Linked DNA regions of Arabidopsis thaliana. The protein of the gene in region 2 interacts with the protein of the main gene of each other region in a pairwise test. Each region holds a gene or a part of one and is shown on either strand. Other genes may lie near its edges. The genes, in order: AT3G46160 and AT4G32250.

Region 1 (9,194 bases), on a different chromosome or scaffold from region 2:
TGTAGGTGGTCGAAAATAGCCCGAAAATTGCCGGGACGAACGGATAACGAGATAAAGAACTACTGGAGGACTCATATGAGGAAGAAAGCTCAAGAAAAGAAGCGTCCTGTTTCCCCAACTTCCTCATTTTCCAACTGCAGCTCGTCATCTGTGACCACTACCACCACCAATACTCAAGATACATCGTGCCACTCGCGTAAATCTTCAGGGGAAGTGAGCTTTTACGACACTGGAGGTTCCCGATCCACTAGAGAGATGAATCAAGAAAACGAAGACGTGTACTCGTTGGATGATATATGGAGAGAGATTGATCACTCAGCAGTAAACATAATAAAACCGGTTAAAGACATCTACTCAGAACAAAGCCATTGCTTAAGTTACCCAAATCTAGCTTCACCATCATGGGAAAGCTCATTGGATTCTATATGGAACATGGATGCAGATAAAAGTAAGATATCGTCTTACTTTGCAAATGATCAGTTTCCTTTCTGTTTCCAACACAGTAGATCACCATGGTCGTCAGGTTAAAAATTTTAAGATTTAATTCATTGAGATAAATCTGTTTTATATATATGTTATATAACTTATAAATACAATAAAACCTAACGACTGTAATAGTTGGTTGATGAACACAAAAACAGCTTAAGTCTGGACTCTGTAATCATACAATGTGTAGTAGTAGTAAGTAACCAGCCTAAGTCTATGTCTAGAATGAATAAGAATAAAAGTCTTGTGATCCCACTTTCTTTTATTTGTTTGTCAATGTATAATACAACTCAATACTCTAATTCTAAAGTAAACATTTCAAAATTTCAATTTCTTTTCTCTGTTTCTTTTTGGTGACATCTCTCTTTAATATATCTAAGGTTTAAGGTACTATACCAAAATAAGCAAACTTGGACAATAAAATTATGAAGAAACTCGCTTATTCTGACCGAAAAAATATCATTCTTGAATCTTTTGATATGGCATATACTCTCTCATTCAGTGATTTAGTGAAGAGACATTAGGTACTACGTACCATTTATCTTAATCCAAGCTAAAACAAAACAGGAACTGGAACATAATCAGTGATGTATAACATTCAATTGTGAATTGAATGAGTGTGACAATATTATATAGAAATATGAAGCAAAAACCACACAAACTATTTAAGAACTTACGGGTGAATAGAGTAACTCCAGAAACAGAACCCTAATTAGACCATCGGTCCATCACGACGCAGTCAAATCCTTATAATATTGGTTGTTGGATGCAGACCCCAACATCCTAGCCAAGACGACGTCGTTTGTCGACATGACCGAGCATTTTGAAAATTTACAATTTACATTGTTTGTTTTCCCTCCCGCCAGATTTTGTTCATAAAAAGAAAAGAATCTGTGTCAAGCCTCGAATATCCTACGGTGTTGGAAGCTGATCCACTATTTAAAATGCTTCAAGTGGTTTAAATTTCAAAACAACACAAAATATTTTTCCAAAAAAAGTATTTTTCAATACACATTTAAAATTTGAGAAAATATTTTGTTAATGTTAAAGTATCACTTCATGATACCGATTAAAAACAAGGAGATTTGAGTACATGTTAAATTTATAATTATAATATAATATAAATAACTAAATTCATAAATTTGTTTATATTACTAATATTTTCTAAATTAAAAACTAGTGGTTTTAAAAAATTGAAATTTCTTAAAAAAACTAAATATTAGTTAGTGTTTAGGAAATTAACGTTTATCGAAAATATAACTGGTGATTTGAAATAAAACAAAAAAACTAGTCTAAACACTAGAATTTTAAAAAAAAATCGTATCAAATAATAAAATTGTAATAATAATATTTGAGAATGCTATTTAGATTACATTTCTTGCCTTAATTACTGAGACAAATGTGATTGGTCTACTAATGGATTGCCATGTATATTTTTATTTATCTGTAAAAGTGTGAGAGAAAAATGTCTGCCAATTCATAATTCATTAAGGAAATTAAGAAAAACAAATATATTCGGAAACTACGCGTGTTTGTATGTAAGCATTAGATTTTCTTATGAAACTGAATCTAACGAAGATTTCTTAATGAAACTGAATCTAACTACGATCTTCTCATTAACCGCTAGAAAAAAGGAAACTTTGACCAAAGTCAAAGCAAGCTTATAAAAAGGAAATTTTCGGTTTCTTCTTCTCTGTTTTTGTTTTCATCACTTTCAGAAATATTTTACAGAGAAAAGCGAGAGAAAGAAGAAGAATGGAGATGATAGAGACAGAGATTTCGTTTTCTGGTTACCTCAAAAGATATGGTCATCTCAAATTCATCGAGTTATCAGACCCTCCTCTCACAAAAAGACCTAGATATTCACCCTCGGTGATCCCTCCTCTTCCTGATCAAAACCCTATTTTCACTCTTAAACTATCTCCGATCATTCTGAAGAACAATAAAAGGAAGAGATTTACACCGAAGAGTAGTAGTAGTCGCAGTGTTGAAGAGATAACCAAACAAGTATTCGACGGAGTAGTCAGAAAGTCTTCATCTTGGATCAAGTCTGAGTTCCTTGGAAGAGGCTCTTACGGTTCGGTTTATCTGGCGACAAGTAAGAAGGCCAAAACTAAAACGACCATGGCGATCAAATCTGCAGAGATTTCACGAGCTTCGAGTCTAATGGACGAGGAAAGAATATTAACCCGTCTCTCATCTCCTTTCATTGTTCGTTGCTATGGCCACGAGATTGCACGTGAGGAGACTCTGTTCGGTGGCGAGAGAACGAATTACAATTTGATTCTCGAGTATTGCTCTGGCAAAAGCCTCTTCGACTTGGTCAACGATAACCTTGGAGGATTGTCAGAGAAAGATGTGAAACTTCTTGCTAGAGATATCCTTTACGGTCTCGACTGCATCCACAGGGCAAACATTATTCATTGTGACATTAAACCGGAAAATATCTTCTTAACCCCTGTCGAGAACCGGATAAGACCTAGTGGGTATGTGGCAAAGATTGGGGATTTCGGTTTAGCATTGGAGAAGGGTTCAAGCGAGTATGAAAAAGCATCAGGTCATAGGAGAGGCACAACGCGATACATGTCTCCGGAGCTTATACGACATGGGATTGTTGATTACGCTGTTGACACGTGGGCTTTCGGATGCACAGTTTTGGAAATGTTAACGGGACAACAAGTATGGGGAGAACATAGTGATCTCGGTTCTGTAGATTGGGACATTCTCATCGGTCAAAGCTGTTACATTCCTTATATACCGGATTGGTTATCTGAAGAAGCACAGCATTTTCTCAGCAGATGTTTAAAAAGGGACCCTGCTTCAAGGTGGGGGATTGGTGCACTCTTGAACCACCCCTTTTTGCAATGTGGATCTATAATTGTTTAGTAACGGTTTTGTTTATTAGTTTTAAGTTGTAAGATGAAGTATCCAACTCTCTATTTGTTATGTGTTTGTGGAAGTTTTGATTAGCATAAATCGTACTTGCGAGATAAATGATAAGAGACTTTTATAACTTTCTTATAGAAACACCAAATTTAATTGAGTATTATAGCAAATCACAATATTGTTTCATTAAGATAGAACAGATTCTGATGTCTAAAGCTAACAAGAACAAACACAACAAGACCAAGTGTTCCATATTAGACAACTCCACCAAGCAAAGCTAACATTGCCATGAAGTAAAAGAGCAAAATCATCATTGGTGAGAAGAGCTGCTGCAACTTTTGATATCCCATGAAATATGCTTGTCTTCTTCCTCGTAGAAAGAAATAAAACCTTCATAAACTTGAGCAAATGAAAGAGGAAGCAACAAGGCTAGGTGTCTCTTGAATAACCAATGATCACTATCAGCTCCCCCTTGTCTTGGAACACATGTCATGTCATTTCTTGTAAAAGACAGTGTAGTGTTTGTGCTATCAACAAAGAGAAGAAGAACTGGAATTGGAACACATCTCTGAGCAGCAACATGACACAAGCATCACACAATACATCACTCAAAATTGTGTGGTGTATTGGACTGAACCACGCTCTCTGCGACAGAAACCATCAAAACCACCAAGCTCTCGAGCAACAACATCATCACTAACGAAGACAATTCCAGAATCTGAAATTATCATTCATTCCAGAAGCTAAATTCATACTGAGAAAGGGCCAGTATCCATGAACATATAACATCAAACATGAACCAGAGAGTATGAATGACTTTCTGGTGGTCGCGTAAGAGATCCAACGATGTAACCATTATACCAAATCCTGTTGGTTTAGCAGAATCATGAGCTGGCATGAGCATCACCTGAGAAGATGTAACCATTTTACCAAATCTCAAACTAGTAGCTGAGATCTACACGAAGCTCGTTTTTGGCGATGATTCGAACAGAAACACGATCAATTTTGATGAATCAACTGGATATTGAACAAATTGAATACTTTGATCGGAGAAGAAACAAATCGGAAACACACACGGATTGATCGGAAAAATCAACCAATCGGAGAAATTAAACTATCAAACGAAACGAAATTGACTGTAGAATCAGAATATATAAATTGGTTTAGAAAGTATACTAAACCAAAGTCTAAACCAAAGATACTAACCAAACTAAACCAAGTGTATAGACTCTATTACCACAAATTCTGAAATTATCTAGCCAAAAGTCAGACAATTAACATGTGACTACTGGTTTTAGTTTCGCATATTCTACAAATTCTGAAATCAAAACAATAAACTATGAAAAAAATAAGAAGGAAATTTAGTATACCGAAACCGAAATTTCTGTTTCTTTTGAGATTAAACTAATCCGGAAAATGGAGACTCTAACCAAACCGGGTCGGTTTTGCTGATCGGAAATAAATAAATTAATAATGAATAAGAAATAGGAAACTCGTATACCGAAACCTAAATTTCTATTTCGTTTCAGATTATACTAATCAGAAAAATGGAAACTCTTACCGAACCGGTTCGGTTTTGTACTTGACTAATACTAAACCCTAAAAGAAAAAAGGAAATTTGAGTCACAAGTTATAAATAGTCTCTCTCGCCTCTTCGCTCTGTCTCATCGTTTTTGTCTAACAACAACAATTCAGAGAAAATAGAGAATTATAAAAAGTTCTAGAGTGAAAAATATGCCGAGATCTATGTCTTCTGATCGATTAGTTCAGTGGGACGACGACTCTAACCGTCCTCACAAGAAGTTGAAGCATTCAACAACGATTTCAGAGACGAGTGTGATAGAGGATGATGCTGATTCGTCTACCCAGATGGGCCATTCGATCAAAACCATTCCAAAAAGCGATCGGTGGGTCGTAACTCGTTATCTTGGAAACTCTTCACGCAGTTCTGTTTACTTAGCCGAGAGCACGATCGAAGGAGAGGAAGACTATCTTCCTGACGAGATGACCATTAAATCTATTGAGATCTCACAAGCGTCACGTCTTATGAACGAAGAAAAGTTTCTATCCCGTCTCCAAAACCCTTTTGTTGTGTCTTTCTACGGCCACGAGGTCACTATAGAGAAGGACGGGAAGGATCCATTACTCGAGAAGATGTATTACAACACGTTACAAGAGTACAGCTCAGGAAGAAACCTAGCGACACACATTGAAAAAAACAGAGGAAAATTACCGGAAGATGATGTGAGGAGTCTCGCTAATGAGATATTGCTTGGTCTCAAGTATATTCATGAAGAGAAGATCATTCATTGTGACATCAAACCAAAGAATATCATACTTCCGTTTGAGAATAACCTATTTGCTCAGATCGCTGGTTTTGGAAAAGCGATAAAGAAATGGTCGGTTGAGTATGGTGAAGGATTAGGTCATAGGATAGGCACGTCACGATTATTGCCCCCGGAGGTTATGATGGACATGGTTTTGGATTATGGTGCTGATGTGTGGGCTTTTGGCTGTACCGTGCTTGAGATGTTGACTGGAGAAAGAGTTTGGAGTGAGTTTGGTAAGCTTGATTGGGAAGGCTGGAAGACCCTCATTGGTGAAAGTGGTAGCGTTCCCTATATTCCTAATTACTTGTCTGATAAGGCAAAGGATTTTCTTGCAAAGTGTTTGGAGAGAGATCCATCTAAGAGGTGGTCAGTTGATAGTTTGCTCGAACATGAGTTCCTTAAATGGATTGACGAAGACGAAGAAGAAGAAATATACGAAGAAGAAGAGGATGACTTTTATGATGGAATAGAAGATGTCGATGAAGAATATGAAGCAAATCTAGAAGCTGAAGCAGCAGTTGAGGAAGAAGAAGCCATTGAAATAGATGAAGAATATCCTAAAGAGGAATCGGAAGATGACCTATAAGAATATATTCATGTTAATTTCTACTCTTTTTTGGATCTTGTTACATTATATATCTTTATTTGTATGACAATGCAAAAGTTTCACTGAAAAATAGAATTTAAGGGGAAATTACTCCAAAAATAAAAAGAGGTAGAGCACAACAATATTCAAAAATCAGAATCAGAGGTAAGGTTTAGTAATATACTACTACTAACCAAGACGTTGATTACTTTCTCCAATAGATAATAAGCTTCTACAACAAATACAGATCCTAAGCTTAGGTTCAGAAAAGCAAAAAAGCAACAAATTAAACACCAGCGAAGAATTCTCCATTGATCATCTAATAACCATAAATCAAAAGCTCCAGTGCTCCACTCAGTTTTTGATAAAAATATACAAACTCTAAACAAAATTCAACCAAGTAAAAAAAGAATCAGGGAATCAAAATATATTGGGCCCAAAGGCCCACCATTTTGTACAGATGAAATTTTTGATAAAAAAAAGAATTGGTTTACAGTTAATGCAATTACTAATGAAAAACATGGAATATGTTCCTACATGTATTCACTTATTATTGCACACAAGCAGAACATATAAGGTTCGAATTTCAGAGAGATGAAAAGATGGGCACACCGGGCAATGTAGCTCCGGAATCAACAATATATGTATTCCCGGATATATATTGAGAAGAGTCATGGATGAGATAGCGTACGAGAGAAGTTATCCCTGGATCAACGGTCTGTTGCAGCTTTAATGGTACAGTCCTCTCGGTCACATTCTTGAACCACTCCTTTTGCATAAGACCTTGTGTGATCTCTGACTTGAAAATCCCGGGCGCAATCGAGTTCACTCTGATCTTGTGCACACCTAACTCAACTGCCATCATCTTTGACATGGTATCAACACCTATTTTGGAACAAGCATATGCAAGTGCACCGGGCAATATACCGCGAATCCCGGCAATCGATGAGATGTTTATCACCGAGCCACCTAGTTTAGCATCACGCATTAGAACACAAACATATTTAGATACTAACCAAGGTCCCGTTAAGTTGGTCTTGAAGACGTTGTCCCATTCTTCCTTTGACAAATCCAAACTCGACTTGACATTGCCTCTGATCCCGGCATTGTTGATCAACGCATCGATCTTTCCAAAGATTCCCCAAGCTCCCTGAACCACTTTTTGAATGGTGGCTGCGTCTGATGTAACGTCTAGCTTAAGAGCCGCGGCTTGGATTCCAGTTGAACTGGAGCTGTTGATTTCAGAGCAGAGAGAGTTGAGACGATCGACACGACGAGCTACTGCAATAATCTTACAACCAGCTTTGCCTAGATCAAGACAGATCTCTCTTCCTATACCAGAGGAAGCTCCTGTCACAAGAACCACTTTGTCTTTAAGTTCACACCACGGCTCCAATTGCTTCAACACCTCCTTCTCTCCAAAAACAAAAGTCAAAGTTTGATGATTGCTCATATTGATTGTTTTCTCTGTTTATGTTCGATGGAGAAGAAGAAGCACATGAAAAAACTTAGTGATATAAAAATAGAAGTGTCAGAAGATATTTAATCTGTATATACCAGACTCGAACAAGTCCCATCCATAACAAAAGACGGTCCTATACTTACACTCTTAATTATTTCATCATCAGATCGACAATTTGTTTATTCGTTAGGTTTGATTTTATTGTTATCCTGATTATATTTGTTTTTTTGGTCAACTATCAATTCAACACGACGTTTTCAAAATGCAATGATCTTTTTCTGTCTTGGTTTTGGCAACAAGCAACAATAATGCATATAATATATATAAGTTTATTATATTATAACCACGAGTTTCTCGCGGATCGATTCGTTTATGATTCAGAGTTTGGACTCCACAATAAACTGTTCTTTATTATTGGAAAGTATCTAAAAAACAATTATGGTGCAACGTTCTCTATCACTGCAAGGTTTATGTCACCGGAGCTTATAAGGGACAATGTTTTGGATTATGGTGCGGATGTGTGGGCTTTTGGGTGTACCGTGCTTGAGATGTTGACAGGAGAACGAGTCTGGTAAGCTTGATTGGTAAGGTTGGAGAACTCTCATTGGTGAAAGTGGAATTGTTTCATATATCCCTGATTACTTGTCTGATAAATAAGGCAAAGGATTTTCTCACCAACTCTAATGTTGACTTTAGTGTAATTTCTTATATTGTGTCAATCGTAAACTCTGTAATAACCAAACTTTTAAGTTCTGTTTGATCCTTTAAACCAAAATTGTTACTGTATTAAATTCAGTTGATATGAATCAGCCATTGTATCACAAATTTATGATATTTCTTGATACAATATCAAAACTCCATAACAATTTTACTTCACAATCATTTTAACAAGTCTACAGAAACAGTAAATAAATTGATCCTTGGTCTCATTGGTCTCTATAAGTACCCGTCCTACGTCATGTATGACTCAACTGCTTTAGTTTTGTTAGTTAGATGCCTCAAAGACAGAGGGATCTTTAGATTTGGCTGGTAACTGTTTAAGCCTCAGAGAAGATAAAGCTCTCTCTGTGCTTTAAGGGTTTCCCTTCAGAGGCTGCGCCTCTTCATCCCGTGGAAGTTCTTGAGCTGCCGGCGGCTTTTCTGATTTCTTCTTCACGAAGGTTTTAGCATATAGAGATCCGAAAACAATTACCTGCGCCAGTGAAAAGTGGTTTTAGTTTCGGGAACAAGGAGAGATGAAAAAGAGGGAAGACAAAGTAAAGAGAGGATTGGAAGAGCTTACGGATCCAATACACTGCTCCCAGCTAAGCGGGTGTGAGAACCAAATGCAGGAGAGCATGATGCTGGCAAGCTTTTTATTTTTCAGACAACGAAGAAGGAATTAGATTTGATTATATTGTGCTTATGAATCAAAGAGTTGAGATCAGACTAACTTACCTGCCTT
Region 2 (9,194 bases):
TTTTTCTATTGATAGTGCCTCAACCTTTGTGCCAGTGAAGACATTGTTTCACACCCTTCCTCTAGCAATAGCATATCTTTTGTACATGGTAACCATTTTACTGAATTATTTTGGCATTTTTTTTACTGCTGTTTGGATTTCGTAGATAGTAACTGATCACAAATTTGTTCGATGTGTATCTCTTGAAAGCTAGCCTCTATGGCATCTGTTAGAGGGGTAAATGTTCCCATGTATACCACGCTTAGGCGTACTACTGTGGCATTTACTATGGTGATTGAGTACATGCTCACAGGTCAGAGATATACACGGTCTATCATTGGAAGGTAAATCACTTTTTTTTTCTTTCTTCCATACTGTAGTTTCTGTTCGTGCAAAATTGATATCTTTTCACTGTTGAATTTGATAATTTCCTGAAGTATTCAGATTCTGGGTTTAATAGTATCTCTTAGGAAGAAATAACTCCTTATGTTTGATCAAAATAGACAAGAATTAGGATTTAGGAGTTTGCGAGAGATAATTGTAGCTCTACGTTTATTCTGTATGTTACATGCCCCAGAGGCTTATGTGGTATGGTGCTTTAAGTCCCTCCATGAAAAAGTATGCACATGTTATTACCTCTAAAAGGAGAATCATGCTCCTTGACTCTTACATGCACAACTAAACTCTTGTAAAATTGATGTCAGTGTTGGTATTATCTTGCTTGGCGCATTTTTTGCTGGAGCTAGGGACTTGTCATTTGACTTTTATGGATATGGTGTTGTTTTCTTAGCCAACATATCAACAGCAGTATATCTAGCAACCATTGCCCGTACTGGTACACTAGTTACTCGCTCTCTGAATAAATTGTTTTACTACATGTCCTCCTGCCAGAGTGAAATCTCTCTTACCCAATTCTAATGTCTGGTTCTCCAGGTAAATCAAGTGGCTTGAATAGCTTTGGCCTTATGTGGTCCAATGGTAATATAAACTAAACAGATAACTAAATTGACCCTAAACACTCAAGACTTGCTTTGAATTTGTGAGATTTTCAATGATAGGAATTATATGCGGACCTATATTGATGATTTGGACATTTATTTGCGGTGACTTGGAGAAGACAATTAACTTTCCTCACCTCTTAACTCCTGGTTTCATGGTACCGTAAATCATTATTTGCCTTATATCTGTCCACTTTGCGTTTGTGATACTGATGATCTCTTTTTCTGTTATGTTCTCACCCAGGTTGTATTACTCTGCTCGTGCGTGCTGGCTTTCGTCTTAAACTACTGCATTTTCCTTAACACCACTCTCAATTCAGCTTTGACGCAGACAATTTGTGGCAATATGAAGGTTGGTTTCACTTTATTAGTATCTCCTGTACAAAAGAAAAATGTGAAACTAATCTGCCAAGGAGAGACTTTGAACATTATATCATCGTTGCAGGATCTATTCACGGTTGGACTAGGCTGGATGCTCTTTGGAGGACTCCCATTCGACCTGGTAATTTTCTTCAACATTCCTATTATTCCATTGAACCTAAAATCGGCATCTACGTTTGCTACATCTCACTACCTTTCTTTTTTGGTTCATTTACACAGATGAATGTGATTGGACAGCTTTTTGGTTTCTTCGGGTCAGGTTTATATGCATATTATAAGATCATCGGGAGGTAACAAGTCCAAAACAAAGAAAAGCCAAAGAAAACATGAGTGGCCTAGTGATGATAAAGGCTCATTAGTTTAAGGAAAAGTTGTTGACTAGTAGTGTTCAAGTGGAGATAGAGTGTTGAGCTTTTGGTTTTGGAGGTGACTTTAGAGTAGTATTAATAATGAAAGGCCTAATTTTTTGAACTTGCGTCTTGTTCTTCTTCAGTTTTCAACAAGGCGAAAGATTAGACTATGGACAAAACTGATTTTCTATTTTTTTGAGATCTACTGACTCTAATTTATACAACTGCTTCTTTTCATTGTATATATGTAGTATTATTATACACACTTGAGAAAAGGATGACTGTAATTATACAACTGCTTCTTTTAAAGCGTTCAATGATGATTTGGTACTAGGCATTCTTGCAAAGAGCTCGGTGAAAGCAAAAATAATTACTTCAACGGTTAAAATTGCAAGTACTAGAAAAGAAAAAAAGAGCACACCCAGTGGGACTCGAACCCACAATCGCTTGATTAGAAGTCAAGCGCCTTATCCATTAGGCCATGGGTGCTTGTTGCTACATCCTTCTGAGTTGTTTTATATATCATATAATTGTATTTGTAATCGTGTTCCATACCTTCTTCAAAAGCAAAACATTCTCTCGCCGGTAAAAAAGCAGAGATCCCTTAACCATGATTTCCTTCAAAGTATATTCCCCTTCCTCATCCTCTTCCCATGCTCATGGTATCAATCTTCCACTCTGACCCAACTCAAGCTCTGATTTCTCCTACTCCGTCGCCAAAAATCTTGGAAGTAGATGTCTTAGCCCGGGAAAATCAAATTTTCTCAATAATCAATCTATGGACGTTCCACCACGCCGCTCTTTGGCTGCGTCTCTCTCGCCTCTCCGGCTAATCGATGGACTCCCTCGTCGGAGGAGTTTCAATTATAATCAGATGCCTGAAGAGCCCATCAAACTCACTGTTCTCAAGCTTGATGGATCTTCCTTTGGTACCCATTACTCATCTCCTACTTGCTTTTACCATTAAATTTTATATGTTAACTAAGAATGTTTGCTCAAAAGAACTAAAAGTTATTGCTTTACAACGAATTCTAGTTTTTTCTGTGTTGTTTCGTTTGAGGTTGTCCAGAGAAATTTGACTGGTTTCTGAATTTGTGATTTAGTACAATTCCCTTTAAGCGTAATTTGGATTTGTAGGTATTCAAGTGTTGAAGACAGCGACAGTAGGGGAGCTCAAGATGGCAGTAGAAGCTGCGTTTTCTCACTTGCCCATCTCAGGCCCTGGCAAGATCTCATGGTACCATCTCTGATTCTTTGACTTGAGTTATTCTTATAATGATTCCGATTTTGTGTCTATATTAGGATAAGTAACTGCTAAATGATTCTTGATGATCCTATTTTTACCCTGTGATTATAAAGGCCGCATGTTTGGGGACAATTCTGCTTATCTTATGAAGATAAAAGATTGATTAATGAGTCTGAGTACCTCACTGAATTTGGCATTAAAGACGGCGATCAGGTTACCCTTTTACTCTTTCTTTATCACTTGAATACATCAAAGAGTCTATGCTTATGATATTATTTCATCTTTACATGTGATGTCGTAGAACGATGCATTTGGGTAGCTAGAGTCTCTAACCTGGATTATGTAGATTGTTATAGTCCAGTTTAGTTTTGACAACATAGTGCTTTGTTTTGATGCTCTATAATGTGTTTTATCTGCCATCATTCAGCTTCGGTTCATCCGCCATATCTCAAACTACTGCATGTTAATGGTGAAGCATAAGAGCAAGACACCCCGTGTTTCTTCTTTCAAACAACTCAAACTGTAAGAACTTTTGGTGTTAAAATGTTTTTAGCATTTCATTATCCGGAATCTCCATAGTAATACATGTTTTTGGACCAATCAGGTTCTCAACCACACCGGAAACCCGGAAAAAGAACGTAATAAGGGAAGTTGAAGAAGACGGTGTTGTTGACTCCATCCCTCGGAGCCAACCAAGCTTTCTAGCAACTGTATTGGGAGGTTTGCTCTCTTACAAGTCGACGCCAAGTCAACGAGGTACTAAATACAGAAACGTGACTGCAAGTAGAGTTTTTAACAAACTCATTGCAAGGTTTCGTTTCAAGTGTAATTCCGAGAAGGATGTGTGGAACAGAAAAAAACTCATATCCGAAACCTAAAAAAAAGCACTCCTTTTCTATCATTTGATTCTTGTAGAGATTTTGATTTCCTAATCTTGGTGTTTATATACAAACTTGGATGTTGTGTGTGTGCAAAATGAATAAGGCATTGTGTATTTACGTTTGTAGTGGATATAATTGCAACCTTACCGTCTTAGCCATTTTAACCTTATCTGGTACAGCGTTCGCGTTTGCGTTTGCGTTTGCGTTTGTGTTTGCGTTTGTGGCCAAAACGCAATCATTTACTTTTTAATTGATTTTCCGCTCCATTGATTTTAATCTGACGACCACAGCCTTTAGCTTATTTGTGTGGCGAAGAGAAGAGATAACATTCCTAAGCAAATCTCTTCTCTCTCCCATTCGTCTCCAAAGAGATTACAGTTTTGAGCATTTCTCATCTCTCGAAGCTCTTCTCTGTGTGTGTGGCGATGGCTGCTAATTCGATAATGGCTTCCTCCAAACCCCTAATCTCCCTGTCATCCAACCAACAACCAAACCGAGTCCAAATTCCCAAATTCGCCAAACTTCCCCAAATTCCCAAATCCCTCACTTCCTCCACCGATCTCCGTAGCAAAGCACTATCACTCTCCTCCGCCACCGCCAAATCCTTAGCTTTAATCGCCGCTTTCGCTCCTCCGTCGATGGCGGAGGCGATGGAGAAAGCACAGCTCTTCGATTTCAATCTCACGCTTCCGATCATCGTTGTTGAGTTTCTCTTCTTGATGTTCGCTCTCGACAAGGTCTATTACTCTCCGCTTGGTAACTTCATGGATCAAAGAGACGCTTCCATCAAAGAGAAGCTCGCGAGTGTTAAGGACACTTCGACTGAAGTAAAGGAGCTCGATGAGCAAGCCGCCGCCGTGATGAGAGCAGCTAGGGCTGAGATCGCCGCCGCGCTTAACAAGATGAAGAAGGAGACTCAGGTATAAAAGAAACAACAATGCACTCAGAGTGAAGAAATTGGTAAATGGATTGTGTATTTTTTTTGCAGGTTGAAGTCGAGGAGAAGCTAGCGGAGGGAAGGAAGAAGGTGGAGGAAGAGCTAAAAGAAGCTTTGGCGAGCTTGGAGAGTCAGAAAGAAGAAACCATTAAAGCTTTGGATTCTCAGATTGCTGCTCTTAGTGAAGACATTGTCAAGAAGGTTCTTCCTTCTTAAATTATATTTTTGTTAACTGTGTAATTCTCTGTCTCTCTATCTCAAAACTTATTTACAAGAAATTACTGTAAATCTCTTCTTCTTCTTCTTCTCTGTTTCTTGGATTGTTCGTCGTTCAAAGAAGAACAATTTTTATTTTGTAAGTTTATAAATAATTAGCTCTCTTCTGTCATTTTAGATGATTAAAGTACAAGTATGTATATCGAGGAATTAGTTGTTACGGATAAAATCTTCATGCGAGTCTTATCGTCACTAGATTTATGTCTATTTGAATCGATTGAACAAAAACGCAAATGGCAGGAGTTGCTTGTGTAAAGAGTAGAGAGAAATTGAGTTTTCAGAGCCAAACACTCCAGCTTTGTCCGAAAGTGTTCATAGAAAGTTAAGTTGACTCTTCCATAACGAGCTCAGGTCCAACAACGAAGCCCAAACCTCAGTTACTCTATCTTATTATTGGGCCCTAAAACGAAATGGGCCCTAAAGCTAACGCGGGTCGGTGTTTGATTAAAACAAATGACGGGGCCTCCACGCCTTGTTCCTTCTTCTTCTTCTTCTCACGCTCACGGTTCTCTTTCTCTTCTCTGTCTTTTTCAGCTTCTGAAGTTACTTGTTTCAGTTCCCGATGATCAATTCTTAGTTTTTTTGGCTTGTTTTCTTCGTCTCTCTTTCATCAGGCCTTTGGAGTTTTGTGTTACCATTTTCGCTCGCGTCATTACTGGTGTTAGGGTTTTCTTCAAAAGCTTCTTAATCCGTCGAAATTGCTCTTTTCTCTCCCTCATTGTCGGTTACTTTCTTTGACCCTTCTCTTATGCTTCGTAAGCTGTGATTTTTTTCTCTGGTTTCATTGCAACTCTAGTTCAATTTCAGTTTGATTTCTTCGCTTAAATATTTTGTTCTATGAGATCTGAGAGTTGTCTTTATTGTTGGCTTATTTCAATCAAAACATTGGCTGGTTAACTTTGATTGACTCATGATTGATTCTATCTAGCATTAATTGGTTTTCTTTGTATTTGGTTACTGTTACTTGTTCTTCTACTTCTCCACGATTCTACTTCTCCACGATACTGTCTCTGTCCCTTGTTCGTATCGCTAACTTATTCCCATAGTGGGCACGTCTCTGGTTTCTGACTTTTCTCTTCAATTCCATGTATTGCGTTTTACCATGATGTTTAGTTTCGGAATCATTTCTTGCTTTCTCTATCTGCTTGTAAGAATAGTTAACAAGTGAGAGGAAAGTCCTTTTTGTTGCTTAAATAGTTTGATTTCTGTTGTTGAGTTTATGCGATATCCCAACTGGTGAAACTGTGTTTATTGGTTCAGACAGAGATAAATGGCTTCAAAGATTATTGCTGGCAAGCCGGATGATACCGAGTATGAAATCATTGAAGGTGAGTCTGAGAGCGCTTTAGCAGCGGGGACAAGCCCTTGGATGAATTCATCAACGTTGAAGCTTCGACATCGAATTGGAAGAGGTCCCTTCGGTGATGTTTGGCTGGCTACTCATCATCAGTCAACTGAGGACTATGATGAGCATCATGAAGTGGCCATCAAAATGCTTTATCCCATCAAGGAAGATCAAAGAAGGGTTGTGGTAGATAAGTTTGAAGATCTCTTCTCTAAATGTCAAGGACTAGAGAATGTCTGTCTGCTCAGGGGAGTCTCTAGTATCAATGGAAAGGTAAGTGAAACAAACATGTGTGTTTCTCTAGTTTCACCGTATTTTCAATTTTTGTTTAATAGCTGATTTGTATCGTGTAGATATGTGTCGTCATGAAATTCTACGAGGGCTCTCTTGGTGACAAGATGGCTCGGCTTAAAGGAGGAAAGCTTTCACTGCCAGATGTTTTGAGGTAATTCTTCATTACACAAGTAAGAAGCTCATTGTAGTAGCGTCTTCTTCATTGTAATATAGAATACTAATGTCTTTCTTATTTATGTGAACCTCGTTTTACAGATACGGGGTTGATCTGGCTACAGGGATCCTGGAGTTGCACTCAAAAGGGTTTCTCATTCTCAATCTCAAGCCCTCTAACTTTCTTCTCAGTGATAACGACAAGGCCATCCTCGGGGATGTTGGGATCCCTTATCTCCTTCTTAGTATCCCTTTACCAAGTTCTGATATGACAGAGAGACTTGGAACTCCAAACTATATGGCACCAGAACAGTGGCAACCGGATGTCAGAGGTCCCATGTCCTTTGAGACTGATTCTTGGGGATTTGGTTGCAGCATTGTTGAAATGCTGACTGGTGTACAACCTTGGTCTGGGAGATCTGCCGATGAAATATATGATTTGGTGGTGAGAAAGCAAGAAAAGCTTAGTATCCCCAGTAGCATACCGCCTCCTCTCGAGAACCTACTTCGGGGTTGCTTTATGTATGATCTTCGAAGCCGACCTTCGATGACTGACATCTTACTCGTCTTAAAGAGGTAAATCATATCTTGACACCGTTATATATTCAGTTTGAACAAGATCGATTTAGAAGTGTTTATATTTCATTATGTATGGTCATAGTATCTTCGGAAAATCCCATAGTTTTTATAGTTTCGTGTCTGATGTTTTAATATTTTTTTGGAATCCAATTTCTTTATTCTTGATGGAAATTTTAATTGGCTACCTTTAATTGTGATATTGACTGGAACCGATTTGGCAGCTTGCAGAACTCGGAGGAGGAACAGGTCAGGAGAGGCATTGATAGTAGAGAAATCAGGAAGAGCTCGGCTACTCTTGGTTATACAGAATGGTTTCTTTCAAAGGATCATCTGCAAGTGCGCGACACCGTGCGTTCAAGAAAGCCTGCCAATTCGTGTAAGCATGAGAACATGGATGTGCCAGAAGGAATGGTGGTTGGTTTAGAACGTGACTCCACAGACCCAGATGGATTTGTGCTAGTTAAAGTCCATGGTGTACATGATCCATTAAGGGTTCACGTATCTGTTCTTGAACGGGTAACTAACGGCTTAGCTTCTGGAGATTGGGTGCGTCTGAAGGTCAGGAAAGACAAGAGGCACTCTCCGGTTGGTGTTCTCCATTCAATTGACCGTGAGGGAAATGTAGCTGTTGGATTTATTGGGTTGCCAACTCTCTGGAAAGGGACATCATCGCAGCTTCAGATGGCTAAAGTATACAGTGTGGGTCAATTTGTGAAACTCAAAGCCAATGTTGTCATCCCGAGATTCAAATGGATGCGTAAAGGTAGAGGTATTTGGGCAACTGGCAGGATCTCTCAGGTTCTACCAAACGGTTGCCTTGAAGTGGACTTCCCTGGAATGTTACCTTTTGGAGAGGAACATGGAAGCTATCTTGCAGATCCGGCTGAAGTAGAGATTGTGAATTTCAATACATGTCAAGGAGCTGTGGAAAAATATCAACATCTGGAGGATTTTCATTGGGCTGTGAGACCTTTGCTTATTGCTATGGGTCTATTGACAGCGATGAAGTTAGGGATCTGTGTCAGGAAGAAAATAGGAAGGTCAAAGGATGGGAAACAACGCGATGGCTCGACTGGACAAGGTGACTGTAAGATTCCGGATGGTAAGGGCTCTGACAAATCTAAATGGCTTGTGTTCTTTTAGGTCTGCTATGAGACACAGACCTTGTCTGGTCCATATATTATACTGTTCTAGTCATAATAACGTTTCATGTACATAATGACGTTTTTCTTTTTTGCTCTTTAAAATTACCAAAAAGCTTTCACGCACCAAGTGTTACTTGCAATTTGCTTAGACAACGACTTCTTACAAAGTTAAGTATATAATTACGATAGCCATGTAATTGGAGATCACAGATGTTTTTATATTTATTGATTAAGAGAGCAAAAAAAAAAGAGGCAGTGTTGCATTTGGCTAATTCCGTGTGAGATCAATGAACTATTCAAATTCTACTTATTGAAGAACACATTTAATCTCGGAGCCTACTTGAACGACTCTCTTAAAACATCACATGGTATATGCAGCGTCCATTACAAGTAATAATGAACATAACCAAACCAAAAGAGGCAAGCTTGCATGATTTTGATGTCCATGGCATTTCCTCAACTTAAAGCAAGAGGAGAAGACCCATTATTGAACAGTCAACAAGAGCACAGAGAACCCAAATTCGAACTACAAGTAGGGAACAAGGGAGTTAGCAAAGATACAGATGACCTTCATTAATCTTAAAAAGTATCAGCTTGAGAACATAGGCCACAATGAGAATGAAGAGAGGG

The links.
Region 1: the proteins of AT4G32250 (region 2) and AT3G46160 interact in a protein complementation assay, tested with the Arabidopsis thaliana proteins (one large-scale study listed by BioGRID).

What each region holds. Positions count from the first base shown.
Region 1 is NC_003074.8:16,945,849-16,955,042, forward strand, and holds AT3G46160 (Protein kinase superfamily protein), read left to right. Parts: upstream 1-5,106; coding exon 5,107-6,288; downstream 6,289-9,194. Other genes in the region: MYB48 (myb domain protein 48), read left to right, coding at 6-528; AT3G46140 (Protein kinase superfamily protein), read left to right, coding at 2,242-3,372; AT3G46150 (uncharacterized protein), read right to left, coding at 3,683-3,921, 4,010-4,068, 4,167-4,297; AT3G46170 (NAD(P)-binding Rossmann-fold superfamily protein), read right to left, coding at 6,875-7,741; UTR5 (UDP-galactose transporter 5), read right to left, coding at 8,823-8,942, 9,033-9,101, 9,188-9,194.
Region 2 is NC_003075.7:15,569,653-15,578,846, reverse strand, and holds AT4G32250 (Protein kinase superfamily protein), read left to right. Parts: upstream 1-5,444; 5' UTR 5,445-6,318; coding exon 6,319-6,666; intron 6,667-6,746; coding exon 6,747-6,838; intron 6,839-6,942; coding exon 6,943-7,416; intron 7,417-7,640; coding exon 7,641-8,562; 3' UTR 8,563-8,803; downstream 8,804-9,194. Other genes in the region: AT4G32272 (Nucleotide/sugar transporter family protein), read left to right, coding at 1-88, 190-323, 684-814, 913-957, 1,038-1,135, 1,222-1,329, 1,423-1,479, 1,578-1,652; AT4G32270 (Ubiquitin-like superfamily protein), read left to right, coding at 2,487-2,637, 2,846-2,945, 3,068-3,167, 3,382-3,476, 3,559-3,832; PDE334 (ATPase, F0 complex, subunit B/B', bacterial/chloroplast), read left to right, coding at 4,261-4,755, 4,824-4,988. UniProt on the Arabidopsis thaliana protein: Serine/threonine protein kinase acting as a regulatory component of the plastid protein import machinery by phosphorylating import receptors (e.g. the A-domain of TOC159, TOC120 and TOC132).